Linked DNA regions of Lonchura striata. The protein of the gene in region 2 purifies or fractionates together with the protein of the main gene of each other region. This does not show direct contact. Links are inferred from orthologs where the notes say so. Each region holds a gene or a part of one and is shown on either strand. Other genes may lie near its edges. The genes, in order: CREBBP, IKBKB, BTRC and FKBP5.

Evidence for each region.
Region 1: the proteins of IKBKB (region 2) and CREBBP purify together in Homo sapiens (affinity purification with western blotting; 3 studies listed by BioGRID and IntAct, with this or other methods). This does not show direct contact. The link is inferred for Lonchura striata from reciprocal best matches to the Homo sapiens genes IKBKB and CREBBP.
Region 3: the proteins of IKBKB (region 2) and BTRC purify together in Homo sapiens (affinity purification with western blotting; 3 studies listed by BioGRID). This does not show direct contact. The link is inferred for Lonchura striata from reciprocal best matches to the Homo sapiens genes IKBKB and BTRC.
Region 4: the proteins of IKBKB (region 2) and FKBP5 purify together in Homo sapiens (affinity purification with mass spectrometry; 3 studies listed by BioGRID and IntAct, with this or other methods). This does not show direct contact. The link is inferred for Lonchura striata from reciprocal best matches to the Homo sapiens genes IKBKB and FKBP5.

The regions. Positions count from the first base shown.
Region 1 is NC_134618.1:3,872,958-3,880,452, forward strand, and holds the start of CREBBP (CREB-binding protein), read left to right. Parts: upstream 1-4,289; 5' UTR 4,290-4,439; coding exon 4,440-4,524; intron 4,525-7,495. UniProt on the Homo sapiens protein: Acetylates histones, giving a specific tag for transcriptional activation. Mediates acetylation of histone H3 at 'Lys-18' and 'Lys-27' (H3K18ac and H3K27ac, respectively).
Region 2 is NC_134634.1:4,929,635-4,937,344, reverse strand, and holds the start of IKBKB (inhibitor of nuclear factor kappa-B kinase subunit beta), read right to left. Parts: upstream 3,187-7,710; 5' UTR 3,159-3,186; coding exon 3,054-3,158; intron 2,983-3,053; coding exon 2,888-2,982; intron 2,172-2,887; coding exon 2,054-2,171; intron 1,302-2,053; coding exon 1,232-1,301; intron 831-1,231; coding exon 742-830; intron 276-741; coding exon 186-275; intron 1-185.
Region 3 is NC_134609.1:19,680,566-19,688,782, forward strand, and holds the start of BTRC (F-box/WD repeat-containing protein 1A), read right to left. Parts: upstream 3,303-8,217; 5' UTR 3,211-3,302; coding exon 3,163-3,210; intron 1-3,162. UniProt on the Homo sapiens protein: Substrate recognition component of a SCF (SKP1-CUL1-F-box protein) E3 ubiquitin-protein ligase complex which mediates the ubiquitination and subsequent proteasomal degradation of target proteins. Recognizes and binds to phosphorylated target proteins.
Region 4 is NC_134632.1:4,621,042-4,628,409, forward strand, and holds the start of FKBP5 (peptidyl-prolyl cis-trans isomerase FKBP5), read right to left. Parts: upstream 3,152-7,368; 5' UTR 3,032-3,151; intron 2,993-3,031; exon of another isoform or gene 2,974-2,992; intron 1-2,973. UniProt on the Homo sapiens protein: Immunophilin protein with PPIase and co-chaperone activities. Component of unligated steroid receptors heterocomplexes through interaction with heat-shock protein 90 (HSP90).

The DNA.
Region 1 (7,495 bases), on a different chromosome or scaffold from region 2:
CTGTAAGGTTTTGAGGTCATAAGCTATAGAAATGATACTTCCATGTTTTGGGTGGGGAAGGAAGGTAGGATCTCAGGAACTGTGTCTTTAAGCAGCTTAGTCCTGGAGACAGGAAGTCTGGCGATGGGCTGCAGCAGTGCAGATTTTATTATGCAATTTCTCTTGGAACTAGTCCCCGAATAAAGGAGTTATCCATTAAGCACCTGCTTCACCCTCCCTCCTGAGCATCACAAATGAAGGCCTCAGGAATCCTTTCAAGGGCTTACCCATCAGTGGGGGAGCAGGGAGCCATGCACTGGAGTCCAGACTGAGAATATTGGTGTATTTGACATATAGTGTCTTTCAAAGAGTTTCTCTTCATTATTAAATCCTCCTGCTCTCTTTGAGTTTGTTGCATGTTTGGCATTACTAGTGAGTGAGGCCATCCAAGTCTTGCAGTACTGACACCAAAGGGCTGTGATACCCAGGGTACTCTTAGGCCTTCAGGGTATTTAATCATAGCCCTCTTTCCAAGGGGCAGCTGGTAACAGCCGAGGTCTTCCTCTCCCTCCTGCCATTAACCCAGCGCTGTTCTGATCCCATGGCAGGGGATCTGATCCCCTTAGGGGCCATCCTAAGGGGACATTTCACCACAGAGAAGCTGCAGGACACAGCAGCAGTAGGATCCTCCTCCTCTGCCCCTGCTGCCTGGGGTGAAGGATTCCCTCCCTCCAAAGCACCTCCTTTCCCTCCCACTCTGCTCCTGGGACTTGCAGCCCCGCTTTGACTTCACTGGTGTGGCAAGCCTGGCACTTGCTGTAAAGACAGAGGAGCTCTCCCAGCTCATCATGGCCTCCATACATCCTCTGCTTTTCTCCCAACAGCGGGTACACAGCATTTCCCTCAGAGGCACCGACACAGCAGCTCCTGTCACAGCACTGGGGCTGTCAGCGCCTCAGCAGCTGTGTGCTCAGGGCTGCAGTACTGCTGTAACATGGGTGTGCTGCCCAGCACCAGGCAGCATGAACATCCTCTGGAGAGTGGCAGTAGCCATGGGACCACTCAGGATCTGTCCCCAGTGGTAAATCTCCATCCTGACTTTATCCCAGAGCTGCAGAGTTAGTGCAGCAGCAGGGAAGGGGGTGATGAGGAAGTGCTATGGAGGGCTCCTGGTGTCAGCCACTCCAGCATATCCTTAAATGATGTAATTGAAAAACCACAGCTTCCTTTGGGTTTGAGGGGCTTTAAACACCAGCTCGTTCCACCTTCCTGCCATGGGCAGGGACACCTTCCACTAGCTCAGGTTGCCCAGGCTGTAATGACCAAGGCAAGCACAAAGAGTGATCCAAGACACAGTTCAAAATACACCAACTAAACTTGTTAAAAAGTTCAAGCAGGAGCCAGAAAAAGACCCTGTTGTCCTCGGCTGTGACTTAGAATCTGATGTGACTCCCACCCCTCACCTCCAACAGCAAAACATTTTCCTTTAACCTAAACTGGAATAAATGCTTTATACCACAGTAAAATGCTGCTGGACAGGAGCTGCTGCTTTTACATCTAGAGGCACTGTGAGACACCAAACCCTGTCCCACACTGAAACATCCTGAAACAGATGGGAACTCATTGCTTTTGAAGGAAATTAAAGCAGGCACAACCAGAGAGCACTTACTTGTGTAGCTAATGAGTAGTGCAGTGATAGAAACAGAGGCCTGACAGACCTCCACGTGATTACAGCCAGACCTCAGCAAGGACAGGCACCATGTAAATAAATACAGAATTTGCAAGTAAATGTAATGAAATTCATGTAAATGTAGAAGTAAATGTAATGAATTCGAGTTTTGCAGTAAACAAAACGCAGACTTACTCTTTGCAAAGTAATCTGTCATTATAGATCTCCTTCAAACCAATAAATTATTGCTGTTGAATCCATCTCAGCTTATGGAGCTTGTCAACAAATCCTCAGAATTGTGTCCAGATCTTCTCCAGCCTCTCCTCCCATTGTGGCTACCTTTGGAGGACATTCCAACATGAAGATGATGAAAACAGCCCCAAGCAACCAGTTTGGGTACAAGGAGCTCTGCTGCCACACACGTCACCGGGGCTTATATGACCTGATTCTCAGGTTGGGAACCAGTATGGAAATCTATGGAAGTATATGAGCTCCAGTCTTCTAAACCTGTTTTGGGCTGGGGAAGTCTGTCTAGACAGAGCAGAAAGTGTTTGTAAAGTGAGGCTGGGGTTTGATGCTGGTGCCTGAGAGTGGGTCAGCTCCGATGGGACACTTGCCCTTGTGTGTGGCTGCTCTGAGGGCATGGGGAAAAATGGGGGCACGGGGAAAAATGGGGGCACGGGGAAAAATGGGGGCACGGGGGAAAATGGGGGCACTGAGGGGGAGCTTGGGAGGGGATGTTGTGATGGGCGCATTGAGAGGGAATGTCCACAGTAGAATTGAGAGGGGGAACTGCAGGGGGTAACTGAGAGGGGACATGCTGAGGGGGACATTGAGAGAGATCCTGTCTGTGGACTGAGAAGGGAAGTTGAGAGGTGACTGAGGGGAAACTGAGAAGGGAGACTGTGAGGGGGATGGCTGTGAAGGGGGCATTGAGAGGGGACATCTTTGGTGAGACTGAGAAGGCAAACTGGAAATACAACTGTGAGGGACTGATAGGTGTCTGAGAGGGAAAATTGAGGACGATTCAGGGAGAGATGAGAGGGGACATCCATGGTGGGATTGAGAGGAGAGACAGGGGTGAGGGCTCTTAGGAGTATGTGGGGAGGAAAGACTATGAGGAGGCATTGAGCCATCCGTGGTGGTAGTGAAAGGGGAGATTGTGTGGGTGACTCTGAAAGGACTGAGAGGGGAAGGGGGGATCATGGGCAGACATGGAGGGGACACTGTGCGGGGGCACTGCGACATCCGAGGGGAGTCAGAGAGGGGATGTGGGGGGAGACTGGCAAACGACTGAAGTGAGGGATCTGAGGGACTGAAGGGAGACTCTGAAGGGCCAATGAGCCATCCATGGTGGGACTGCGAGGGGAGATTGTGGGGGTCCCTACGAGGGGACTGAGGAGAAACGGGGACTGTGGGGAGGCATGGAGGGGTCGCCGTGAGGGGAGCACTGAGACATCTCTGGTGGGACTGAGGGGAGACTGCGGGGGACGCTGTGAGGGTGGAACAGACATCTGAGGGGAGTCGGAACACTGTGAGGGGACAGCTCTGGGTCCTGAGGGGGAGCAAACAGGAAAGACCAGGCGAGGACTTTGTGGGTGGGAGGGAGAGAAATGCACTCTGAGGGGACTGAAGGGAGATTATGAGGGGGCACCGGGAGCAGGCACCTGAGACATCTGAGGGCAAACGGAGAGGGGACGCTGCGAGGGGGTGCTGCGGGGGGAAGCCCCGACTGAAGCAAACAGGGCAGACCGAGGCGGTAGCGGGGCGCACCGAGGCGGGGCAGGGCGGCGGAGAGCGAGCGCACAGCACCGCCGGCACGGCGTGCGGGGCGGGGTCGCCGCCCGACCCTCCCGCCGCTCCCGAGCCCCTCAGCGGAGCAACTGAGGACGGCGCCGGCCGCTTCCGGCGCCGCGCGCGCCTTTCCGGCAGGGCGGGGCCGCGCCGCGAGCGCGCTGACGCAGCGCGCAGGCCCCGCCCCCGCCCCGCCCCCGAGGGCTCTGGAAAAGAGAAGAGAAAAAAAAACTTTTTTTTTTAATTGAGGAATCAACAGCCGCCATCTTGTCGCGGAGCCGGAGCGCGGCGCGGGCGGAGCGGGCCGGGCCGGGCCGGGCCGGGGCAGCGGGGCCGCCCCGCCGCCGCACGGGGCAGCCGCGCCGAGCGCCGCCGACGCGCACAGGGGGCTCGAGCCAGCGGGGCGCAGCCGCCCGGAGCCAACCGACCGCCGCCGCCGCCACCGGGAGCCGCCGCCGCCGCCGCGCCGCGCTCATTGTTTTGGGGCGTTTTTGGGGGGTCGGCGCGGTTTTCCGCTTTTTGGTGATTTTTTTTCCTTTTTTTTAATTTTTGCCCCCCCCCCCCCCCCCCCCCCGCTCCCTTCTCTTCTCCTCCCCCCCCCCTCCTCCCTCCCCTACCTCAGCCGCGGGCGGGCGGCGGGCGGGGGCCGGGGCGAAGCCGCCGCCGCGGAGGGGAGGGGACGGGGCGAGGCGAGGGGAGCGTGTGGGGGGGCGGAATGCGCCCCGAGTGACGGCCTGAGCCGCCATCCGGGCACCGCGGCGGGGGGAGCGCCCGGGAGGAGCGCGGCCGGCAGGGAGGGGGCGCTGGGCCCTTCGCTCCCCGCCCCGAGCCCTCCTCCCTGCGGCCTGCGGCGGCCCGGCATGGGGGAGCGGGGGCGGCCGGCCGGGCACTGAGCGGCGCTGTTGGGTTCCCGTGCGGCGGAGGAGCGGGGACAGCGAGCTCGGCCCCCCCCGGGCACCCCCCGACAACGATCGCCGGCTCCGCCGCTCCGGCCACCATGGCGGAGAACTTACTCGACGGGCCGCCCAACCCCAAGCGAGCCAAGCTCAACTCGCCGGGCTTCTCCGCCAGCGATAGCACAGGTAAGGCCGCGGGGGTGGCTCGGGTGGGGCTCTACGCCGGTTCTCCCCCACACACCCCCCCGCCCCCGCCGCCCCGCCGGAGGGGGGGCCTGCGGGACCGCCCGCCCTGCCGCGGTTCCTGGCGGGGGTGGGTTGGGCCTCCTGCAGTCGAAGTTACCGGGCGGGACCCGTACGCCAAGTACCGTCCCGGCTATAAATAGCGGTTGGAAAGAGACGTTTTTCGAGTTAGGTTTCCCATCTTTTCCTCCATCATCTTCGTTTTTAGTGCCTCGGTTTGGGTGATGGGGGTGGACAGGTGAGCGGAGTGCGGGTAGGGAAGCGACCGTCCTGCTTGTTGTACGATCGTGGAATGGTTCGGGTAGGAGGGGACCTTAAAGCCCGTCTTGTTCTATCTTCTGCCATGGGCAGGGACACCTTCCACTATCCCAGGTTGCTCCTAGCTCCGTCCAGCCTGGCCTTGGACACTTCTAGGGTTGGGGCAGATGCAGTTTCTCTTAGCAGCCTGTGCGGAGGGCCTCACTGTCGTCAAAGGAAGGAATTTCTTCCCGATACGGAATCTAAATCTACCCTTCTTCAACTTGGAAGGGTAGTTAAGTTTCTGTCTACTCCTTAAACCCCACAGATTACCCACAGCTAATAGCCCTATACAGGCTTTTTCACTGTGCCCCTGTGTGTGACACACTACGGAATAAAAACTCCTTAATAGCTTCTTAGTCATAGAATGATATGGGTTGGAAAGAACCTTGAAGAACATCTAATTCTATCCTCCAGTTAATACTTTGTGCTTTTTTTTACCTCCCAGCCTGTGACCGAGGTTTTCGGGCATTTGGCTTAAACTGTTTCAAGCATTTTTCCTTTAAACCCCAAACGATTTGCCGATAATAATTGAAGTTGTGGGGTTGCTCGTATGCCGAAATGCCCAGCAGCGTGGCAGTCATTGCGACTTGCCTGCGTCGTGTGTAGTGTCTCTGGCGTGCCTTTTTCTTCAAATGTGATGGATTTGTAGATAATAAAACAGATAAAAATGTCTTGTTTCCAGCCAGTGTGTGCCCGTTGTAAATACACACGTGTGCATAAGAGCATGTGTGCCTGGACCGACCGGCCTCTACCGGTGTTCCGACTGTTTCAATCCCTGAAAGAGTGGTTTCAGAAGAACTTGAAGTCTGTTGCACTTTAATTTCTGCTTTCAGAGATTAATGAATCTTGTGGAAGGGATAGTGATAAGTTAATCATGCTGTGCCTGCTGTGTTTTCATAGACTGAAAAAAAATACTACTATAATTGAGCTGATAAATTCTGTGGGTTTTTTCGTCTTGCTCCATCTATATTTGGCAACACTTTACAGATGCTTTGGTCCTTTAGGGTTTTTTTATGGAAACCTTTTTTCTCAGCCTGCAAATAAATTAAACAAGCGAGAAAGAAACAGTATCGAATTAGAATTGTCAGGGAATATCTAGGTGAGGTCTTGTGATCTTACCCCCTTGTGTGGAAGCACTGGAATATATGGAAGGCTGATACACAAGTTGCTGCGAAATGCTCTTTGTAACTCAGGACAAATACAGTTTATAGTTCTTTAATACTTCAGTGAGAAATTTTAGACTCTCCTGGTAGCCAGTGTCTTGGCTTGTTTTTTTTTTTCTTCCTTCGTTCTTTTTTGAAGTTCACTTGGGCTGTTCTGGAATGCTTCAGTCTTAATTACGTCCTGTTCAGCAAGTTCTCGTGTGTCTCGGGGAGCTCTGTGTGGCGCTGGATGTGTGAACTCCAGCATCTGCAGAAAGTTCTGCAGGGCTCAGGGGGCCTGGGGGCACCGGGATGGCAAACCCCAAGTTGTATTCTGGACAAGTGTGTCCAAGGAGTTCTGTCATCATCCTGGTGTTCCATAGGCAAAAGTACCTCTCTGCCAAGGGTGTGGGTGATGTTTGTGCACTTAAAGAGAGGCTTGTTTTTAGGAAAAGCACTTCTAGGTTTGTTGCCAGCAGTTAATGCTGCTTGTTGAAGGATTGCTGAAGGTTTCCGTGCATTGTGGCAGGCGATACAAATAGTTTGAGTAGTGATTGCTGTCAAATGCCTGCTCCTGGAACTAAACCAGGCTGCTCCCTGCTGCTGGGGCTTAAATAGAAAAGTTCTGTTGCAACCTGGAAAGTGGCCTTTGTGATCGAGGGAGCCTGGGGAGATGGGTCTGAGGCTTTTGCCCTGGCTGAGCAGTGAGTTGAACAGAATTATTGTAATTGCAGCGGTAGCCCCACACTGGTGGGTGCTGTGGCTGCCGTGAGGGGGATGAGGGGGACGTGCTTTCACAGCCTCTGCATTGGGCCCAGCTGAACAGTTCTGCTCAAGCCTGCGAATGCTCACACCCGAGGCTCTGATGGCAGACCTGAACGTTGGGCAGAAAGCAACTGCTCTCCTCCTTGTTTATATTTTCTTGATGCTTTGATGCGGTGATGTTAAGCAACTCCTTTTGTCAGGGTAAGTTTTAGCTGCCTTTAATCTTTCTGATAAAAATAGCTCCTCAGCTTACCGGGGCAAAGTTTGTGCCATTGAAATTGGTCTGCTTACCTTGTGAAAATACAGCCTTTTCTGTTAAACCTCAGTGGTTAAATTCAGTGTCTGGTCTTGCAGAAGGGTGCAGAGATGAAAGGATAACAGAAATGGGTGCTGTGACCATCGTTAAGTTTCATGATAGTCTCATTTCGCAGTTGCCGTGCTGCTCTTTGTATCAATAAGGAAGGTTAAGACTCCTGGCTGTTAACTTCACTTGCCATTGCTGTGCTGTATTGAATGAGAAGACTCCTGTGGTAAAATGTCCGTGGGAAAGATTTTTCCTTGTCTAGCCAGGTAGGAGTAGTGCTCTTGTCTAATTACTGCTTTATTGGATACACAGGCGTTTTCATACCTAAACATTTGTCTCTTCTGTGGCTGTTGTGAGATGTTCTCATCCAGTGCCGCAGAATAAACAAGGGACTCCTACAAAA
Region 2 (7,710 bases):
ATTCATAATAGAAGCAACTAGCAGAAAACCCAGTGTCAGCAAAAAACAGTCACCTTCACTTGCTTCAGCACCACAAACACACCCCATACCATGCAAGTACTTAATCCCAGCCCAAAACTTGATAACAATTAATTCTACCCCACTAGAAAGCAGTAGCTGCTCTTATACCTGAATTCCTTTCTTACCAAGTACTGCAGAGTCCCAACAAAGGATGTGCATAGGCTACCCTGATCCAACTCCTTAGCATAACCAAGGTCAATGATTTTGTGTATTAACTGAAACACACAACAGAGAATAAGAGTGCTAGACCGAAATCCTGTTAAAAGCACATCATACAGCAGAAAGAAAATGTTCAGCTCTTCAAAGCTATACAGGAAAGGTGCTAGTGAAGAGGCAGAAGTAGAAATGGGAGGCTACTGTAGATTCCTTAAGCCACAATGAATTTGAAGGTGTCATAGCACACTTAGCAGTTATGTGTCTAGTTCCTTCCAATCTTAGGTCAATCAGTACAGTGTGGCTCTCTCCTTAATAGCTGAAAGTCGAAATGTCAGGTGTTAACAGATGTCTAATACAATGTCTTAGCTGCACACAGAATACTATTCATCTGACATAGTGGCCTGAGACAGGTGTTATCCTGGGCTGAGTGCTCTTGCAGAGGGACCATGTAACTGCATGAAGCACATGCATGCTCCTTATAAGCTTACTTGTCTGTGCAGGCAGAGACAACTGCTTCCTGCTTACCCTTTGTTCTCCTTGCTGCAGCACAATGTTCTCTGGTTTCAAGTCTCTGTGGATGATCCTGTTCTCATGAAGGTATCTGAGAGCAGAAGCTGAGACACACATAAAGGAAATTTTAAGAGCATAAGTAACAGTACCTAGACAAGATCAGTAAGGACTCGGTTCTATTTATGGCTTTCACATCAAACCTTGTACAATGAAACATACCATGAAACACTAAGTGTAAGGTGTAAAGTTAGCATCATAGAACTCTGGACACAAACTGAGTTCTCTCTCTGAATGTTCCCCCACATTCTTCCTTTAAACTGTAGTAACACTGGCTAGCTTCCAGTAGGCAAGGACCTCCCCAGACTCCCAACACTTTTGGTAGATGATCAAGATCATAAAAGGTCAGTCTAAAACTGAGTCACTAAGGTCACTGCTGTATATTTGGAGAGTTGATTCAGGACTAAAAAGGTTTCTATAGCTCAGACAACTGAAGGCTACCACTTACCAATGTCAGATAACAAGATAAGAATAGCTTCTTCCCGCAAGCCACAGCAATTCTCCAGCTGGTTCAGGTACTGCAAGTAAGCAACACAAAATGCAGTCTTTCCTTCCTCTATCCTGAGTGAAGCCCACAGTCCCGCAAATTCTCAGGGATACAAGAAATTTCAGCAACAGCAATTAAATTCTCCAGAAGCACAAAATTCTATGGGGTGTGACCTGTGACAGCAGCAATTACAGCTTCATAATTAAATCAGCCTTAGCTTAATTGCATGGGAGAATAAAGGAGTAGGTGAAAAGTCACTGTCATCCCATTCTAATCCTTCTGTTTGTTCCATCCCTCTTTGCCATTTCCCCTGTGCCTGCCAATATCAACTCCAATATGAGGCCTAAAGTCTGTGTTTTAGCTATGGGCAGATTACAGCAAAGGTCAGAAAAGCCTTAGGATTAGAACTATCATGTGTTATTTCTTCCTACAACAGACAAGAGTTAATCACTTTAAGGAAGGGTACAGCCTACAGATGCACCTACCCTACAATGGTCTTGGCCATACTCATATTCTGTTGCACATCCCTTACACTTGCCCTCATTATTTATGTGCAAACTCCTCACAGTGTCACTTGCATCCAAAAAACCAAAAGAGTTTCACAAAGCACTTAAGTCTTCAAAAGCTGAACATAGTATCAAGGACCAATCCACCAACAACTGGTGATGCCATGATAGAATTAGGAAGCCTCAGGATGTGAAAGCAAAGGTTCTAAGAGAACAGAAAACCCAGGATAAGATTAGAAGCTGACCCATTCCTTGGTTACCACCCCAGGGACCTCACCTTGCGGAGGTCTCCCCCTTGGCAGTACTCCATGGCCAACAGTGGCAAGTCATTTGGTGCGAGCTTCTGCATCCCTTCAGGGACATCGCGGGCAGCCACCACATTGGGATGGTTCAGTCTGCGGAACAAAAATTAGGCAAGTAGGCATGATGTTCTGCAACTGCTATACAATTTCACATGCTCCTGGTCATCACCTAAAGTGATCACAAATCCTTTTAGAAATTAAATGAGTGAATTCTGAAGGTTTGCATATTTCACGGATCTAGCCTCATTCAAACTCCTAGCATTTCACGTGCAAGACAGTGTGTTTCTTCAACACACATGCATTACAGATCTGTCTAGAAGGTACAGCAACAACTCTTGCAAGGAGTGCAAGGCAGTCTGTTGCCACCGTCCAGAAAAGACCCAAACTGCAATCAGACCACTACACCCGAAAATGCTAATCCAACACCCCAAGGGACAGACGTTAAGGCAAGCAAAGCAGCGGCTAGGTAGCAGCGTTGTTGTAGCGCTGAGGGCACAGCAGACGAGCCGAAGACGGCAGTGTGAAACCCAAGAGTCTCACGCAGCACCGTATGAAGTTTTCTTACGCGTGAACTTCCACCCACCTGCCGCCGAGCGGACCGGGCACCTCCCGGAAGGGGATCCCTTGGCGGCCAGCGGCCGAAAGCCTCTCCCACCATTTCCCTCAGCGCACCCGTCAGATCCGCGCTCCAGGGCCGCCTCCGCCACGCGTCCCGGGGCACCGACGCGACACCGCGCAGCGACCCCTCCGCCCGGCCCGGCCCACGCGGGCACCGGCCTCGGCCCGAGAACACCGCCGCCCCGCCTCACCTCTTCATGATCTGTATTTCCAGCGCCCAGCGGTCGCGGTTGCGCGGGCTCAGCTCCTGCCGGCACTGCTTGATGGCCACCTGCTCGCCGGTTTCCTGTGGACATAGTAAGGGTGGGCTGAGACCGGGTCCGGAGCCGGGGCGCCGCGGGCCCGGCTACCGCCTACCTTGTTGTGCCAGCGGATGACGTTGCCGAAACCGCCGGTGCCGAGGCGCTCCCGCATCTCCCAGGGCCCGCAGGTCAGCGCCTGCAGCGCGGGCGGGCGGCTCATGGCGGGCCCGGCTCCGCTCCGCGGGACCTGCGCTTCCGGCTCCGGCGCCAGCGCCCGCCCTTCCAGGGGCCGCGCCGGGCCGGCGCTCGGCCCGCTCGGGGCCGCCCCGGCGAGGAACGGCGGAGTCGCGATCGCCGTGGCCGCGATACCGCGTGGAGTCAGGGGCTCGGGATGAGAGGCGAGAACAGCTCGTGGACTGTGTAAGTAAAATTAAAGAGTTGCCGTCTTCTGCCCGCAGCATCTCCAAGATCTGCCAATCCGGAACGCACCATTTGCTTTTCCCACCGCACCGCCCGAGCCAAAGCGCTATTCTGGCTTTACATCGGGTTTGGCTATTTCTTCCTTCTGGGCTGGCTGGCGTGAGTTGCTTTAATACCACTGCAAAGATGCACAACAGTACGGGGGTGGAAACTGCTCTCCAAGATCTGCCACAACTCCAGTCGCCTGCGCTGGACCTGCCAAAGCCACCGGCCAGAGAGGGTCCCGCCGAGGTGACATGGGCCTACTGTGGGATGTCATGCTGTCACACTTCGTCACTGCCATTAAATAGTCCTGCTGAAATTATCCCAAGGATCAACGTAGAGAAAATCCAGTAGGTGGTGCTTGAGAGAGCAGACACTTTATTGCTGGCTTTCCTAAAATATGTTAAGCCCTACAATGGCACCACAGTCTGTAGACAATTATAGTTGTCCTTAAGCTCTGAAAAGCCAGGAAGTAATTTCTGAAATCTTCCCCCATGGCCATCAGTTTGTTAGCATCCTTAATCTAGAAATCAAATGGCTAGTATCTTAAAAAATAAAATAAATTAGCCCCTGCTCTCTCAGCAGTGTTCAATCTCAACAACTGGAAGTCCCTTCCAGAAACAGTCAAATGCAGCTACACATCAGATTTATGGCAGTAATGTTATCACTAGCACTGTGACTCTTGGAGAAATAAATTTTATAATCTTGACATAGATCTCCACACAGATAGAGTACGGGTGTTTCATCTTTACCATTATGCAAAATAACCAGTGCTGTGTTTTCCAAACGAGGTCTCTATGCACCTGCTTCTTAAAATAGAAGTCACTCACTCCACATACTGGTTCTTACATCTTATACTAGATTCTGTCAGGAGCTTGATTGCTAGTGTATCAGTTCCAAGCAGGTACGACACATTCATCACTGTAACAATTGCAGCAATGACTGTTTTCATAACAGTGCCCTAAGTTAATCACATTTGTCTGCCACGCTTTGATAACTGAATACTCATGACCACATTCTGGTAAGTAGATCTTCATTTTCTAGGGTGAGTAATATCAGTGAACATTTAACTCTGGCCCTCAACATGCTGTTCCTTATTTGTATCTAAAGTTCTAAGAAGTTTTGCTCATTTAACTTGAAAACTCCCCTGTTTCTTCTCCTGTGGCTCTGTTCAGGGCATGCTTTGCTCCACAATTGGGTCAAGGCCTCTCTGCCTGTGGGAACTCAAAATGTCTCTCAAACATTTTTAGAGGTTCCAAGCCTTAGTCAGAGGCATTCTAGACCCTGGCAGACAGCTGAAAAACAGCTGTAACTTTGAGTTGGGGCCATGGGGTGAGTTGCCAGCTTTGGAGGTGGAACAAGCAGTCACAAAAGGTTAGATAGTATAGTAAAAGTAATTACAAAGTAGAGGGGAATTTTTTTTTAGTATTGTAAAGGGGGGTTTTAGCACATATACAGGGGGGTTTTCACTTTGTACATGGGGGTCAGAAGTTCTAAGATGGAGGAAAGTGGGCTGATCCTGTTCTTCCTCCTTCTTTTTCCTTGCCTCCATGTTCTTGGTCATGTTGGCAGTCACAGATTGGTTTACAGTAGAAAAGCACTTTGTAATATAGGTAGTAGGTATTGGGGGAAAACTATAAACATGTAATACGTAATATATCATATAAAAGATAGCAGCAGCCCTGGGCGGGGAGAGAGACGAAGAAGACAGCAGATAGAGAGGATGTCAGGGTGTGTGTGTGCCTCTACCCAGGCCGCTGATCAAATAGCCGCAGTCCAAGAACATAATCTGTTAGATAACTAGCAATAAACTGCCTTGAGACTGAACAGCTAAAGCCTGTGGAGTTTTTCTTTGGAAGCACGGGTTGGAGGAGGAATTTCACCACCATATGAGACCCCAGAGCAAGGCTGTGGTTCTCACATCTGCCAAACATTTTCATTAGGAACACAGCACACTACACTTGTGTGTGAAACAGGAGTTTCTTGTTATTAGGACTAAGTCTACATACAGCAGACTTCTGATTATATTATAAATAATACAGCTGTGCATTCATTCATACTCCTAGAAGTATAATGGGACAGGACAGTTCGTTGTAAGGGATACATACTATTTTGTCATTGAACAATAAGGTATTCAATGGGGAAGAGATTGTTTTGAGAACTAAATCTGCTCTCTGACTGGAAAAGAGAAAGAACAAAACAAACTGGCTGTAAAATCCAGCAGCATTCCAGCAAGTAGCTTTCCTCCCGTCCTGCACAGGGCTCCCTCCCCAACAATCCGGATGCCAGCCGCCTGCTTGGACCATCCCCTAGATGCTCGGGAAGGGGTGGGATGCGGACAGCACGCCCCATGGCCCAGCTCCATCAGCACGCTCCACCCCCTCAAGTGGTGCTACAAGTAGGACAGAGAGATCAGAGCAGAGACACAGGAAACACAAACCCAGACTGGTCTGGAAAGAAAATCATCAAGACTACAGAAGAGAAAAAGCAAAAAGGTAGGCACTACTCTGCACCTGTTTCAAAAAGGGCATTTCCTGTTTTCAACATCAATGGCATTGTCATTAAATACTATTAAATATTATTATTTAATAAATCCCAATTTAATAAATGAAGTACCATGATAGTTAACTAACTGAACTATTGCCTTCCTGCTTTTGAAATAATTCATAGCGTAGGTAAAGATGCTAACTTTCAGTTGTTTCAAGAAAGCTGAAGCTTTCCAGGGAAAGGGCTGACATGCCTTTTTGTTCACATTTGATAAGTGACAGCTCTTTTTTAGGTCTTATTCCACATAGGTAAGATAATGCTTACATTATTACTGCTTAGGCTGTTAGTAATAATAGGTTAATATGTGGGATTTTAAGTGTTCCTGTTGACGATGCTTCAGCAAAAAGAGACAAATTTAAGGTATAATATAGTGTTCTATCCTAATGTATTTGAAAGTGTAGAATCAAAATGTCAGAACATCACATCTAGGTCTTTGACTTATTGGTCTAGTATTTTTGAGAGGCCTACCAGATGCACACTGCTTGCCGGTTTCTGCTTGGAGCCTTGTAAGCATACTTTTCAAACAGTCAAATTATTTCAATTTGACGGCTTTTCATTCCAGTTGACTGGCCTAAGTTGTACCTTTCCCAAAACTGAAAATAAATGTATGGCAACATCTGTTACCAGTTTTCCATGCATAGTGGGACAGCAGCTATCAGTGGATGGACAGGAAGAGGTGGGGGAAATGCTGCAGCGCTATAAGCTAAGATAGCCTGAACAGGGGCAACAGAAATCAGTGGAAGACAGGATGTGACATCTAATGTAAAACCACTTTAGAGAGACTATCTACAGCATTTTGCAGTATAAACACTTGCTGTGTATGGCTAGAACCTACTTGTACAGATGAATATATGAGTTGAACTTGATTAAGCCATGCAGGTGCTTTTTTAAATAGAGACTCCTCATGTCAGTCTTCCAGGCAAAGAAAGTATTAAAAAGACATTTTTAAGTTTAAACTACCTGCTGGTTTCAGGTACGTAGGACTTCTTCCAAGATATCAGTTAGGCCAGCTGTCCTCCCAGACAAAAAAAAAAACCCAAAACAAACAAAAATACCCCTTATGTTGTCTTGTTTTGGGGCATCTTAGCAGGTACCTCAGAAATAAGGTCTCAACAGTTCTTTACTGTGCTTCCCAGGCAGGAATTCTAACAAGGCAGCTCAGCTGTGATCTAAGTAGTTTCACTGAACAAAGCTTTTCTTGAAAACAAACGCCTTAGCTACCAGAATTCTGTTTCTTGCAGTTGTAAGAACTTCAAGCCTTTTCCACAGATAACAACAAAGATCACCTGTGATACCAACAATTAGCAAGTTAAAACATTGCTACTGTGGGATTCAGAACACAAGCCTGCATAGATGTAATATGGAACCACAGCTGCACGGAGTAAGGATACTACGCAGGGTTATGGCAGAAACCAAGCAACTGGATGGCAGTTCAGATCATTCACTTTGACTTTGGGAATGCTACTGATTTAGTTCAGATTGAATTGAAGTTGAAATTGAATGCTGAAAGTCAATTAATTGAAAATCACTTGTACCATTTTTAAAAAGGCGTGCCATACAATGCAAAAAGTTTCCTAAGAGCTGAAAATAGCTTGAAAATATATAAAAACTGTACTGTGAAATCTACAGACCAATACAAATCACTGAGATATGTGCCAAATTTTAAGGATTTTATCATTAATATGTGACTCAAAGATAAAGCATTGGGTAATTAAGGTCCTTGGAGGATGTTCTTGGGAATCTTTTTAGTCTGACTCACAGCT
Region 3 (8,217 bases), on a different chromosome or scaffold from region 2:
GAGTGTACTTTCATCAGCAGGACTGTACAAAAAAAAAAAAAAAAGAGACTGAAGTGAACTAAGACAGGTTCCACTCTAGTAAAATCTTTGCTGCAGCTGCAGAACACTAGACTATTTAATTTTAAAGATTGTCTTTAAATCTATGAACCATCTTTCATTCAAAAGGAAAAAAACACACCAACAAAACTTTTGAAAGATGATGTGCAGAACACATGATACAAGACACTCATTCACCAGCAAAAACAGTCTTTCCTTGTGAGCAGTGGCTTAGTATTGTGTAGTGTTCATACACAGCAATTTAATATCAGAAATAAATTAGGTCTTATTAAGACATAGAGGTAAATTGAGTAAGCAAATGAAATTAAATAAATTACTTAAATCTTAAAGTATTAGATTATACATATTGTACCTGAGCACAGATAACCAGAAAATGTAGCAGGTATCAGTTAAATGCAATACTGCTTCATTGGCAAGTAATCCAGCCAACACCAGCTACTGAGAAGGCAGCTGCCTTCTACTGCCATCAAAAAGTTACACAGACATGAGCATAGAGAAGAACAACAGAGTACTGTTTGTCTTTCAAAGCATCAAATATGGATGCTTTAAAGCAGAATAATTTAATTAATAATATTAGCACTGGATGAAGCTTTCCCATTTTTCTGTTAGACTTGGACATTAAAATGAAAATCAAATCACTAAGTCCATCTTGCCTGGTACCTTGTGATTCAAAAGAGCTGCTCAAAGTCAATGTCAAAAATTAAGTTCTCACATTTTTAAGTGGAAAAAAAAGTATTATTTTCTAGAGAAGCATAAACAAACTACCACCTCGAGGGCTGCTTTTCAGTATGAAATGAAACCTACCCCAAACACATATCAAAACCAAAACCGTCTCTCCTGCCTTTGACAATAGGCCTCATACCTCCAAAATGTACTTGAATCTTTACCTACAATGCTCTTTGGGAAGCTCCCAGGAAAATCAATAATTATTAGCAAAGCCCATCACAAGCCAAACTGTGAGCCACCTAATAAGGAAGATGCAAATGAAGCGTATCACATACTCTGATGGACAGGGTAATCCACAGTGAATGATTCAGCATTAGCTGAGAGGATGCATGAGCTGATCTGCTACCTCTGTGTGGATAACTGTACCAGTGCCACTACTGCAGTGCCTGAGCACTGTCTGAGTGCTACATGGACCAGAAAAGACATTTTCAGGAAGGGCCAGGATGATACTTGCAACTGATTGCTCCTGTATGCTGATGTATCTATCTGTGTCACCCTTCCAGAACACCAGAAGACCCCACCAAGTCTGACAAACACTTCACTTCATCAGCAGAATTAAAGGAAGAGCCATGTTCTGGACTGATGCACACTAAAGCAAAAGCCTGGGATGTGCTTAACAAAAGCTTTGCTTACTCTATTCTCAACCTGTAAGCAAAAAAACCCTAAAAAGTTCAGAATGGACAGAGAGAAGTCATATCTTTCACTGTATGTTTTACAGGCATTTTGCAAACAAGAGGCACTTAAATAAAACATGAAAGAACGTGGGTTAGCTTTTAGCTCTCAGTGCAGCCTGGTCTTGATAATTCTTCCCTTTATCTGGTGCTCTTAACAGATGCATATCCCAGAAGAGCAGCTTCCTCTCACAGGCATGCCTCTCCCCAGTGTCAGGGAGCTCTATTGTTGGAGTCCATCAATATCTGTTGTTGTCCATCTATATCAGCTATTGTTGGAGTCCATCATCATCCTGCCAGCTGCAGGATGGACAGGGATTCCCTCAGCCTCCAGACCCAATCTTACAGACAATCTCAAACCACCCGGACTAAGCCCTTGAATGAAAATCATAGCACAGGGGGCCAAAAAGCAATGTATGAGAAGTCAGCATAGCATGCTCACAATGCTGTCTGGCAGCAGACAAGAATGTTTCAGCAGAAACTTTCTGGGATGTGAAACTCACTATCTAGAGGCAGGTTGTAATTACCAAGCTTGGCCAAACACAAGTGCAGCAGGATCTGGGACACTCCTTTGGCCAACCCCACACCAAAGATGGCCATTCATTACTTCTGATTGATATCTTGCTGATTTAGGTGTCCATAGCATTTTTCCACTTCACCTAGCTGAGACTCTATAAATCTGACAAACTTGGAGACTACTAGCAAATGGCTTAAAAAGTCTCAAGAGAGAAACAAGTTCTTCCAGATGAAAAGCCAAAAGTCAAACAAGTGTATTGAAGCTCAATTAGAAATTAAAATTTGCAGCTAGTGTTTCCTCAATTTCATTTTGGGCATATGTTCTGACAATTTAATAGCATTCCTTCTTCCTGATGAGCTCAAGTTTAATTCTGTGACACTAGAAGCACTAATCCAAAACAAACTTTTAGCAAGTGCTGCCAGTCATTTGAATTATATCCTTAGGGAAGAAGAGTTCAGGGCACCTGGAATTCACATTCAATTTAGTTGGCAACACTTTGTTTTCGTTTCTAAATTTTACATTTCTGGCCAAAATGCTCAGAAACATCAACAAATTAAGAAAGAAGAATGAAGCTACCGTTTAAGTACACAATGCCTCAAATCTATGGAAATTAGCTATATTAGAAGAGCATCTTGGATGCATGTACTGTTTTCCATACCAACTCAAAACCTAAACAATGTATATGCTCCCCACAGTTCTATCAGTGATGTGCTGCTGCAGCAGCAGGTGAAACACTTAACTGCCAGGATTTAGAGATCTGGCAGGAGAATGGGAGGAAAAATAAATTACAGAGAGATGGTGAGCAGTACAGCAGGATAGTCTAAGGTGCACAAATAAAGAAAAAAATCCAAGAGTTACATGCGCAAAGCCTGCCGGTGCCTGCGGGCCCCTCTGCCAGGTCCTGCCTCACTCCGGTTTAACTTCCCCCTCTCCCAGGTGGCACCTGCAGCCGCCTCCCCCTGCTCCCGAGGCTCCCGTTGCCGGGATCTGGGGACCCTGCTCGCTGCCCTCCCCGCGGCAGGACGCCCCTCCCCGGGCCCGCTCACCGCCTTCCCCGCCCGCCAGCCCCGAGGCCCGGCTCCCCTTCCCCGCTGCTCCCCGCTCCACCTCGCCCCGTTCCCCCGCAGCCCCTCCACAGGCAGAGCTGCCCACCCTCCCCCGCCGCCTTCGCCGACCCCCGCGGCCGCTCACCATGAACTTGAGCGCCTTTTCCTGCAGGACGGCCTCGGCCGGGTCCATGGCGCTGCGGGGCCGGGCCGGGGCCGCCCCCCCGCTCAGTGCAGGCCGCAGCCAGCGCAGACGGGAACCTGCGCTGCCCCGCGCCCCCCCACCGCGCCCCGCTGCCGCACCGCGCATGCGCCGCTCCGCAGGCCCACGGGAAATGGAGTCCCCGGTCACGTCCCTGGCAAAGGGCCGACCTGCCGGATAAAACTACAAATCCCGGCAGGTTCCGGGCCTGGGGGCACGCTGGGAGCCGGCTGGCGCATGCGTTGTGTGAGCGCAAGGGCCGACGGGGGTTGTAGTAACGTGGGCCTAAGGGTGCGAGGTGCGGGCCAGGGGAGGATAGACGCGGCCGCTCGGGGCGGGCGAGGGAGGGAGGCGAGGTCCTGCAGGTGCCGTGTGGGCAGTGTCCAGCTCCAGTCCTTCCCTGCGGCTGGAAGGTACGGCTGGCTCCCGAGTCACAGCCCCGCGCTCCCAAACGCGCCGCAGGAGGGCTCGGCTGCTCCCAGGCTTTGCTCCCGCTGCGCTCCGTGCTGGCTGCCCGAGCCCATTGCTGCTGGCAAACCTAAACTGAGCCCCTGCACTGCGTGCAGAAATGTCTGGGGAAAAGTTACCAGGTCCGCAGGGGATGTGAAACTGGAAAATTTGCATCACTGGCATGGATCAAGGAGGCTGACATCATTCTGGAGAGATGTTTGTTTGAAGCCATCCTGTACATAAAAAGCCTCCCGTGGTGCTTTGGTGCCCTTCTTCTAATAATGGTTTTAGATCAATTTTCCCTGAAAATTGGACCAAGTTTTCTTTGCTGTACTAAGCAGCAAAGAGAAAAAAAGAATTGATCAGCATTCCTTGACTAGCAACTGCATATAGACAGAAAATTTATCTTATCTCCTCTGTTTCTCTGTTGCACACTTACAACATCAGCTCACGTGGCAACCATTGTTTCTAATCCTCTTTATTAAATTTGTCTCATCTCTTTCCAGTTTTTCTACATTTTTCACGGTGCCCAAAAACTTAAGCTGACGTGTATGGAGCAGCAGAGAGGAATTGCTTCCTATGGTTTTAATACCAACTATAAAACCCTGATAAGTTTTTACTTCTCTATAGCAAACAAAACACTGATTTCTAGCCAGTTTGTCATCTAGTAAAACACTCTGGTTCTTTTCCTTGCTGCATTTATATATTTGGCTCTGCATTTTAAGTGAGATACTCTGAATTTCTTCCTATTTAAATGCAAAGAAGCCAGCCACAAACATCAGCACTTGTATGTCCACGTGCAGCTCAAACCCATTGTTTTCATTCCCTGTTTGACACAGCAACAAAAGTGAAGCTTCAGGCAGGTACAAAACCTGTATCTCCTGAGTCCCAGTGCCTTCCCTCATTTTCTCTAAACACTCCATCTCCTCCAGATTTTCAGGCAGAATGATTAGAGAGAAAACAGAGGATGCAGAGAATGTGCCCATTACTGGATTCCTCCCAGGGCATGTGACTAGGTAGTGCCTTGTGATCCAGTGCCAGGAGAGTCTGCTGCAGCCAGTGACCCAGCAGAGGTGACAGGGAATGTCAGCCTTTGCAGGGTGTGATGCTGGCATGATCCATGCTCTCAGAGCAGTGGTCTAAGAGAAGGAGGAAGAGATAACCTGATGTTCTCCCTCTACAATCCCAGGGCATTGAAATCTCCCAAATAAAGCTTCCATGTCACCAGGACAAGAGGCTGCCATTCATGACCCAGCCATGCTCTTGGCTGTCGTGCTTTAAGCCCAGACTCTTAGCAGTGAAATGCCTGAAATGCTTGGCTCTAGTGGGGCTGGGCACTTTCCAGACTGCTGACAGCACTGAGAACACTCACCACGATTATATAAATAACAGTAATTATAAGGAGGGAATCCTATAATTACAAAGGGAGGGCTCCTGTAACAGCACTGAAGGCAAGCAGGGGCTGCTGGTGCTCGAGGCAGGGCTCTCCCATGTCTCCTTCCTCCAGGCATCCTGCAGCTGGCTTGGGGTGTAAATGGATCCTCCTGGTAGCAGCGTGGCAGGCTCAGAGCTTTGATTGCACGGTTTATTTGTCAATAATATCTGATGCCGACCTAATTGTTGGAAAATTGGAAAGTGTAATGCTTCAGCATTAGACACCAGTGTCCCAAAGCCCTCCAGGCTGATTGATCTGTCTGGACTGTAACTTACAGGGGATTAATGTCCCTGAACTCTGTGGAGCCAGAACTAATGAGTGTTTAGGTGCTGGACTTAAACTTGGTGGTAGAAGGTCATGGCTTGGTTACTCTGCCACACTGCCATCAGAACCCCACAACACAGAACCACTGCAGAGGGACAGGGCAGGAGCCTCAGCTGCAGCACAGAGTGACTGAGGAAAGACTCCCAGAAACAGCACTTGGCCCAGCAGCGCTGAGCATGGAGTGACACCTTGTTGTGAGAACCTCACCTGGATCTCTACGTCTGTGGCCTGACCTTGTCGCCCCTTCCCACTGTGGGATGCTCCCTGCAGCTGAATGGCCAGCTCTGCACCCACCAGCTTGCTGAGTCCTCTGTGGCCAGAGGAGATGATGATCAGCACACCAAGCTGTGACACCATCAAGGTGTCACATCAGACAGCAGGCAGAGACCAATTGGAGAGGTGTGTGGTTCATAAGGCAGGGAGAAGGCACACTTCAATAGATTTACCACCAATTATTTGTTTGAGTTGCAGGAACTGGACATGTGTAGTCAGTGCTGTCTCTGCCACAGTAGAGCTGCCCTTTACTTTTCCTTGAAACAGCAATCATACCCCCCCACCCTGCCCTCCACCCCCTCGCTGCAGAGCACTGAAACGAGCCCATATAGTGCTCAGGGGCCTCACCATCCTTCCAGATGAAGGATGCTACCTAACAGTAAAGATATTACTGTGATTATTTTTACAATAGCATATTGCTCTGTGCATTCCAGACTCTGTGGACCACATCCACGCCTGGTGTAACGCCATGTTAATTTGCTGTGGCAGTCATTAATTGGGTAAGGAACAGCTGGTGCTTTGCTTCAAGTGAAGCTGATTGGGTCAGTAAGTAAGTGGTTAAGAGATCTACAGCAGGTATAGCCCTACCTTTCTCTGCACTCCAGAGGGGTTTCACTTCTTGTCCCAGTGACCCATGGTGGAAGCAGCAAGATTTGGCCATAAAACATTAGGGAACTTTAATCAGTGCGATTCCTTTGGGCATTATTGCCTGAATTTTTAAATTTTGAATAATAAAGGATGATTTTAAATTAAATTTGTGGAGTTGCCATCTGTGTGGGCTTGGCCTTGTTTTCCTCTACTTTGGCAGTGCCTTGGCTTCATTCTTTCCAAGTTGGAGCAAAGAGGAAGGGAAGTGAAAATAAGAGAGTTCACTGGTGGAAGAATCTTTTGTTGTTCCCTTTGTCCTGCAAGAACTTGGCAGCAGCAGTAGCAGCAGCTGCTACTGGGGCTGTGTTTCACAGGGCTGAACACAGAGGCAATCTCTGGTAGCACAAGAGCTTGTGAGAAGGTGACAGGGACCCCTGCAACCAGAAACATCCCAGTGGGTCAGCTCAGCCTCTCCAGCCTTGCTTTTCCTGACAGTGTCATGTCCCACACAGGGCTCTGGCATCTCAGCTAAAGGCACTTGGTGTGCAATGGCCTAGGGAAACTGAGGGCAGAATGCCTCCCTGTAGCCTGTGGACAAAGGGTCTCTTTTAGGACAAAGGGACACTCAGTCATGCAAGAGGGAAGGGAGGGAGTCCAGGACCACACAGTATGAATTATGTTCTCTGAGCAGGACAGTACTCATTACTTGGTATAAGTAGACATGCAAAGCTGCACGTATGGAGGGGATGACCAGAGAGAAAGGCTTGTCTGCAGAGAAACCACAGTAGTGTAGGCTATAGATTAACGTCTATGGGTTGAGCTGATTATATCTCTTATGCTGCTGCAAAGGGGAGATGCATCCTCTCTCCTGTGTCTGACAGCCACATGTTTCTTCTCACCTTCTGCTGGCTCCGAAACCTATTTGCTAGCACAGTAAGCTGGTTTAGTTGACTATATTGGCAGGAAAATTATACTCAGGAAATATTAACTAAACACTTTGCTCACAAGTCAAACTGGCTTTTTCTTACAACCACACAAATGGCAAAGTTGCTGTAAGGGCAAGTGGACCAGGGCAAAGAAAGATGAGATTGGTCCCTCTTAGTTACTGGGAGCTGCTAATTCAGCAAACAGAAGGTGGAAAACTTCTTGTCTTCCCACTTGTCAGGATCCCTGGACCCTCCTGAGGGTTGAGAGCCCTCTCTGCACTAATATCATCATCACTGGCTCTGGATGGCCAAGGCAGAGTGTCTTGGAGAGAACACATCCTGAAAGTTTGGAATACTTACAGGAATCCTGAGCAGATTAAACCTGAGTTCACTTCCCATCCTACCGTAGTGGCTGCATGGTGCTGCTCCCCCACCAGATTCACTGGGCCACTGGGAAGCTGACGATGCTGAAGCCCTGGTCCCAGTCTTTTCCATAGACTCTGTAGGTGCTTTGTTTAAAAATATGGATTAAAATGAATCAGGGTGACAACATTCTTGCACAGGTGCTGTACCAACTGTTCAGCAGCCTTCCCAGACTCTGAGGTCTTGCCAGAGGCCACGGTGAGGAGCACCAGGCTGTGGCACATACAGAAACATGCACCCCAAATCCCAGCCTGCCAGGTGCCTCCAGCACAGATCTGGAAGTGCCTCTTTACCCTTAGAACAGCTCCTTCCCTCTCTGAGACCTTGCTACCTCCCCTGGGGTGTGTCCTTTGGTGTTTGCAGCACCTTCCATCAGCCTGTCCTTGACACAGCAGCAATGACAAATTCATCAGTCCTTCAGCAAATACGAGTCCAGAGGAGCATTGCTGGGAGCTCAGTGCTGCTGCCTGAAGGGTGGCAAAGGGGAAAGAAAGATTTCTTCTTACAAGGACAAAAAACAAACCCAAACCACCAAACCTGACCCGACAGAACAAAAACAACCCCAACAAGTACCTTGTA
Region 4 (7,368 bases), on a different chromosome or scaffold from region 2:
TGACAGCTTGGGGGGGGACTAAAATAAATACAAAATGGGAATAAACAAGGAACTCCTTGTTTGCCAATTCTGTTTTAATTTAGCCTTTTCTCCGGACTAAATGTGGCAATTAAACTTGGATCTATTAAAATGTGTTTGTTTCTTTGTTTTCCGAGCAGCTTGCAGCCAGGTGACCCCTGGCAGTGGGAATGCTGTGCTGGATGATTTATCCCCACACACCAGGGCTCAGCAGCACCTGGAGCATCCCTGAGCTGAATGCCATGAGGGGAATCCCCAGCTCAGCACCCAGCACCGCCAGCAGCAGCTCTGGCACCCAGAAATAACTCAGCACCCAGCACCATCTGCACCAGGGCGCTGTAAATGCCAAATGATTCTGGGCAAACGGCAATTCCCAGGGAAACGCCAGCCTGCTCGGGTGCCAAGTGAGGATTTCTTGGAGAAACATCACGAGGGGACAAACTGCAGGTGGGGAGGGGGGTGGCAGTGGCATCGCTGGGGACGCTGCGAGGAGCAGCAGGGGCAGATGCCACCACAGCCTTGGGGACAATGCCAGCACAGGGGTGAGGACAGGCTCTGACACACTGGTGTGCACCACCTGGGGTGGGGAGGAGGCTGCATCCCACCTGGGCTCCTTTTTGGGGTGGTGTCACATCCCAGGAATGATGCTCTTGGTCAGGCAGTGCCTCCCAGGGCTCGTTTTATTCAGTGGTTAAATTTCATCTAAATCAAAAAGTTCTTGCAATGAGAATATTTTTCCATCTAAGGACAATACTGCTATTTACAAAGATGGGACACTGCAGGTAGAAGATGATTTAGCTGCAGTCCCTCACAGTCCTGACTCTTCACTTCTGACAGTTACTTTACCATTATTTTCCTAATTTTCCAACGCACTCGCTTGCAAAATCAGAAATCCTTACTAATCACAATTACTGGTTATGGAAAAAGCCTGTCAGCTCCATGACAAACAAGTTACATGAACAACTTGTACGTTAGAGCACTCGTGGCCACTTCTTTACACCCACAGGCACAGAGCATTAAAATAAAACCCTTGCTAAGTAATATCTATTTCCCTTTTACGTGCACAAGATCAGTAGGAGCTTCACAGCTCCCTCAAGGGGCTGCAGCAACTTTATAGAAATACATGTAACCAAGAGTGAGTATAAAATAAAATTGATATAAAATAGCATAGAATGAGAAATAACTGAGGACAAACTATTTTTCAAACCACTTACAAAATATTTTTCCCCTGAGCCAGTCTGCAGCCAGCCCAAGGAAATTTTGGTGCTGACCATCTCAAACCTTCCAGCAAACTTTCTCCTTCTGCAAGCAGGTAATTAATTAAAACACACGTAACTACACAGCAGTGGTGTTCCTGAGGGATGCAGTCTGCTTTTTATTCAGTTGTCCTTATTTTTGGCTCGTCCCAGCAGGAAGGTGCTCTAACAGTGCTGGGAAAGGACCTCGACATGACTGAAATGTGTGCTGGGCAAACACAGCCTTGGGAAGATGAGATTATTTGCATTTATTAAAAATAAAAAAAAAATTAAAAATAAAGCCCAAAAATCCCGAACAAACAAGGAAAGATAATTGCATGAGCAATTATCCTGGCAGACATCTCTGTTCTGAGCTGGATGGGCACCACGAGCAGCCTGTACCACCGGACCTCTCCATCCCCCAGAGCCACCAGCCACGTGCTATCACCTCTCCCTGTGCACTTCAGCAGAGGAGAAAACTTCTCCACGACTCCCCAGAAATCTGCTGGGGATTTTTTCAAGGACCTAAACCCACCCAGGACCCCTCCACCCCCTCGCTGTGCTGCACAGCTCCAGGTTGTGGACGCTGCTCCCTCTCTGGCAGGGATTTTCTGTCCCCTCCCCAGCAATTTTGTCCCATTTTCAGAGTACCAGGCTGGAAACGCAGCCCAAGTATCTCGGAGTTGCAGCACTGGCACCCAAATCAAAGCCACAGCACCTTTGGGAAGACAGAGCAGAAAAGCCAGATAGATACAGGCTCTGCCAGACCTTTTTAATGATTTTCTTCTCCTCAGCCCTTCAGCAGGACAGGGGAGGAGGGAGGCAGCTTGCTCATGTTTTAAAGGAAGCGGCAATTTGTGCTTTCAACTCTTTTTTTTTTTTAACTTTTAATTCCAGTTCCCAGGTTGGCTTTGATATCCCAGTGATGTCCTCAAATCCACCTCAAGTTTAATAGCTCGTTAGGATGAGACACTATTTAAACTCTAAAGCCATAAAGTATCAGCTCCTGGCTTTTTTTTTTTTTCTTTTTCCCCATTATGTTTTATTTTTAAGCATACTTTTATTGTTTGCACCGTTGGGGACAGAAATTCGGTTCAGCTTTGGAGCCTCAGCTGGAAGCCGCAGCCTGGGGACACACCGATGACAGACAAATCTCCTACGAGTTCCTACAGCCCATTGTGTAAAATACAGTTTCCTGGGAAGAGCAAGCTCACTCGAACGTGAAAACAGAAGCTCTGGAAGAGTTTTGATGTGAGGAGAGGAGGAGAAAACGCAGAAACTTTTTTAAAAATCACATTTACCCTGTGCAACCACTTCTACCTGCTGCCAAAGGCTGTGCGTAGCGATGCACACACCCTGCGGGGTCTCTCTGCTTAAAAGAAACGCTCCGGCTGCTCCCGGGAGCCTCGGACGGGGATGGGGAGCGGGGAAAGCAGAAATTCCCTCCGGTAGCGGCGGCAGCAGCCCGGGATGTGCCGGAGCATCCCCGGGCACCGCTGCGGGAGCTCCTCCCGGCATCCCGGGGAGCTCCGTGGGGCACGGACCCCGCTCCTACCCTCACCGCCACCATCCCCTTCCCCAGCGCCCCCGGCCCGCTCGGGACAGCGCTGTCCCCGCTGTCCTGTCCCCGCTGTCCCCGCTGTCCCCGCTGTCCTGTCCCCGCTGTCCTGTCCCCGCTGTCCCCAAGCCCGCGGTGCCCCACGCTCACTCAGCCGCTCACCCGAGCAGCGCAGGGTGCGGCAGAGCGGGCACGGCGCTGCCCGGCCCGCGGGTCCCACCTGTGGCAGTGGCTGTCCCCGCTGTCCCCGCTGTGGCCGTGGCTGTCCCCGCTGTCCCCGTGGCTGTCCCCGCTGTCCCCGCTGTCCCCGCTGTCGCTGTCGCTGTCGCTGTCGCCGCCCGGCTCCGAGCGGCCCCCGAGCCCGCCCGGCCGGGCCGCCCCGCCCCGCGCCCCTGAGCCCGCCCTGCTCGCGTCTTATTGGCTGAGCCGCCTGTCCGTCCCCAATTCCCACCTTGCCATTGGCGGCGGCGGAGGCGATATGCAAATCAGAGCGCTGTGCCCGCGCGCTCGCCCGGGTGGCACCGGCGGGGCCGGGCGGGAGCGGGGACAGGGACAGGGACAGGGACAGGGACAGGGACAGGGACAGGGACAGGGACAGGGGACAGCCCGGCCAGGGTGGGACAGGGGACAGGGACAGGGACAGGGACAGGGACAGGGGACAGGGACAGGGATAGGGACAGGGATAGGGACAGGGGACAGGGACAGGGACAGGGACAGGGACAGGGATGGGGACAGGGACAGGGACAGGGACAGGGACAGGGACAGGGAACAGGGACAGGGACAGGGACAGGGGACAGCCCGGCCAGGGTGGGACAGGGGAAGGGATAGGGGACAGGGGACAGGGACAGGGACAGCCAGGCCCGGGTGGGACAGGGGACAGGGATAGGGGACAGGGACAGGGACAGGGGACAGGGACAGGGGACAGGGACAGAGACAGGGGACAGCCAGGCCCGGGTGGGACAGGGGACAGGGATAGGGGACAGTCCGGCCCCGGCGAGAGCGGGGACAGGGGACAAGGGACAGGGGATAGCCTGGCCCCCCTGTCCCGGCAGGGAGCGGGGACAGGGGACAGGGGACAGGGGACAGGGGACAGGGGACAAGGGACAGCCCGGCTCCGGCAGGAGCGGGGACAGGGGACAGGGGACAGGGGACAGGGGACAGGGGACAGGGGACAAGGGACAGCCCGGCTCCGGCAGGAGCGGGGACAGGGGACAGGGGACAGGGGACAGGGGACAGGGGACAGGGGACAGGGGACAGCCCGGCCCCGGGAAGTGCCCGCGGTGTTTGACCCCGGAGCTCCGTGCAGCGCTGGAGAGCAGCTCCGTGCAGCTCCGCCACCCGCAGGGCTCCTCAGCCCCCCGTGGGGCTGTCCCCACCCCGCGGCTTCATGCGACCCCGCAAGGACACCCCAGAGCCGCAGGTGCCCTCGTTGCCCCCCAGCTCCCCGGGGTGGCCCGATCCCTCCCAGCTCCTCCGGGAGTCGCAGGAAACACCGCGCAGAAGAGTGAAAAATTGCCTCAGAGCTGGGGACAGAGATGTGGGTTTGGCGGACAAGCGGCTGCTGGAACACGCAGAAATGTTCCAGTTCGGGAAGAAGGAAATAAGGTTTTTGTCAAGAGCTGCCCCAAGAATAGCGCCCCGGGTTAGAAATCAGCGCTTTTGTGATCATACACCTCATCGCTGCAGTGCCTGAGCAAAAAAAAATGTTGGGGGCAGATTTAAATTGGGACATCTCTGAGTGTTTTTATGAAGTGGTCACTTTTTACCAAGTTTGTGCTGTAATGAGTGCCTGCAGCTCCCAATCCGCATCCTCATTCCCAATAAAATCTTCGGGGCCAGGCTGAAGGCAGCACTGCCCTGGTGGGTGTTTTCTCACAGGTCTGCTCTATATGCTGAGTTTGATTTCCCCAGCTGTAATTTATACACCGGTGTCACTCAACAGAAATACAGAGTGAAAATTAAAGCCTACTTTAGAAAAGGGGGGGAAAAATTGTTTTCATGGCATTTAATTTTCCCCCCGCTAAAATAACCCTGGTGAATCTTGCATGTGGTTTCAAACATTTCCCTCCCGGCTTTAAATTTCCAAGAGCTTTAAATATTCATTTACAAAACAAAATTAAAATATTGTGGGTTTGCAATACCAGGAAAATCCACAGCACAATTCCATCAGGCCCCTGAGATAACACCAAAACCCTGAAAAACCCCATGGGACCAATGGCAGCAATGAGGAAGTTCAGCCTAGTTTGTCCTTGTACTATAAAAATGGTAATTTTTTTTTTGTTTGCATAGAACCCCCCTCCCCCAAAAAAATACATGGGAATAAAGAATCAGAGTTGCTTTTTTAGAAAATAAAAGACACCTTCCAAATCACTGCTATGCCAGTGCCAGACCCCCCAGCTCACTCTGTTTCTTGGGTGGGGAGATGTCCTAAAGTCTCCCCTCTCCCAGGGCTGGGGTCTGCCCCGTTCGCCCCCATCCCTGTAACACAACCTGGAGGAAATCTGTTCCATAAATAATCCTGTTTGGCTTTGTGACGCCTGCCGGGGGTACTGCTTGTTCCCCCTCGCCCTCCAGCTGGCCACACATGTCCTGCCCCAGCCCTGAGCCCAGCTCTGAAAGGACAGGGAGTTTTGGGAAAAGTCTGGAAGCAGGGAGCAAAGCCAAGGAACCTTCTCTGCTGGCTCCCCAGCACCTCGTGTGAGGTGAGAGCAGCCTTCCTCCAAGGGAGAGAGAAAAAAAAAAAATAAAATAAAGCAGGGGATATTTTTATTCATCCTTGTCTTCTGCTAAAAATAACCAGCGTTAATCTGCCTGGAGAGCGTGGGGAGGAGAGGAGTCCCTCCACCTTGGCTGCACATAGAGCCACATCAGTGAATCTCCTGAGAGCGGAGGAAGTGGCTTTTCTCTTTTCTCTTGGTTTCCTTTCGCGTGCGGCAGCACTGCTCCATGGTCCCGGGGCAGGGATCCTCCCCTTCCCGGCGGATCAAACCCATCCTTCCCCTCAGAACCCGGAGCAGCAGTGTCCATTTTGGGGCTCCGAGCAGCGTTTCTTGCGGCCCGGCGATGCCCGCGGTGTGCGCGCCCCTCGGGGGGCCCCGTTCGCCGCTGGCACCGGGGGCGCAGCGCGGTGCCGTGCCCGTGGGAAGCCGCGTGTTTACGGGAGGTGCAGCCGGGGCTTGCACAACAGGCGCCGGAGAACAGGAGAACACCGTGTCCTTGCTGTGGGTGCAGCGCAGCTCCCGGCAGGAACGGACGGACGTGGGGACATGGGGACATGGGGACATGGGGACGCGGGGGATGGGGCAGGAGGGCAAAACCTCCTGCTTGGCATGAGGAGTGCCGACCCCGGCGATGCAGAGCAGCTGGAAGCCGCTTTCTGGCTGAAACTCGCCCCCAAATCTCCCTGCGGGAAGGCCGCTGGGAGGGATGCTGGGTGTGGAGTGACCCAGCCTGGGGCAGTCCCTGGGGTCCCTCCCGAGGCTGCGGCAGCCTCCCCCTCTCTGCCCGGACTCACGGCTCCCCATACGACTTTTTAACAGCCGAGGGGCCGACACATCCCCCTCACACGTGGGGACCCCCAGGGAAGTCCCTGCTCCGTCACAGGCCTGACCCTGCCCTACCCTGCGGTGTGGCCAGAGCCGGATCTTTCCAGGTGCATTCTAATCCATAAATTACCAGATTGTGGCCTAAATTCTGGCCCTTGTTGCAAAAAGCCCCCAAGCCAGCAGACAGGGGCACCTCCCTCCAGAGGCTTCGCTGATCCTAGCTCCATCCCTGAGCTCCCATTTTCCTCACGGCGCTTCCTTCCAGGCACCGGGGACAGCTTTTACTAGAGGAAAGGACGCAAATATTTCCCCAAATTATTTCCCTTCTGAGGAAATGAGGAGAATCGCTGCTTTCCCCGGCTGGCAGTGAGCAGCAGAGAGGTGGACAGAGCCCAGAGCTCCCCCAGCCCTGCCGGAGATGCAGCCCCACAGCAGCAAGGGCAGGATGCAGCAGCGGGGCCGGAGCAGGGAGGATAAATAAAGTCCGGCTCTGCCGTCCTGGCTTGTGGCCACTTCTAACACAAAGTACATTCCGGTCTGGACGTAACGAACTGTACCAGCCTCCGGCGGAGAGGGCGGGTGCCTGGGGGTGCCTGGGGGTGCCTGGGGCTCCATCTCCAGCGTGGGGGTGCGAGCTGGCAGCACCGGGGGTGGGCACAGGGGTGACGGGGGCATCAATCCCCCGAGGACGCTCCGCTGTGAGGAGGCTGGGTCCTTCCATGCAGATGTTCCTGCCGGACGGATCCGAGACCCAAGAACTCCTGCAGATCGCCCTCAGGTGCCCCAATGCTTGCGGCGCCGCCCGGAGAGCGGCGGGTCGGGGGCACAGCCGGGCTGGGCACAGAGCGTGGCTCGGGGGTCAGCGCTGCGGCTGAGCCCCACGAAGCCCCGCCGGGGTTTCGGAGCCGCTCTCAGCCTCTCCTGGCCGGGAGCCGCCGCGGCCGGAGCGGGCCGTGCCCCTGCCGGGAGCGGCACCGGGCGGGCGCGGTGCCAGGCGCCGGGACGGGGACGC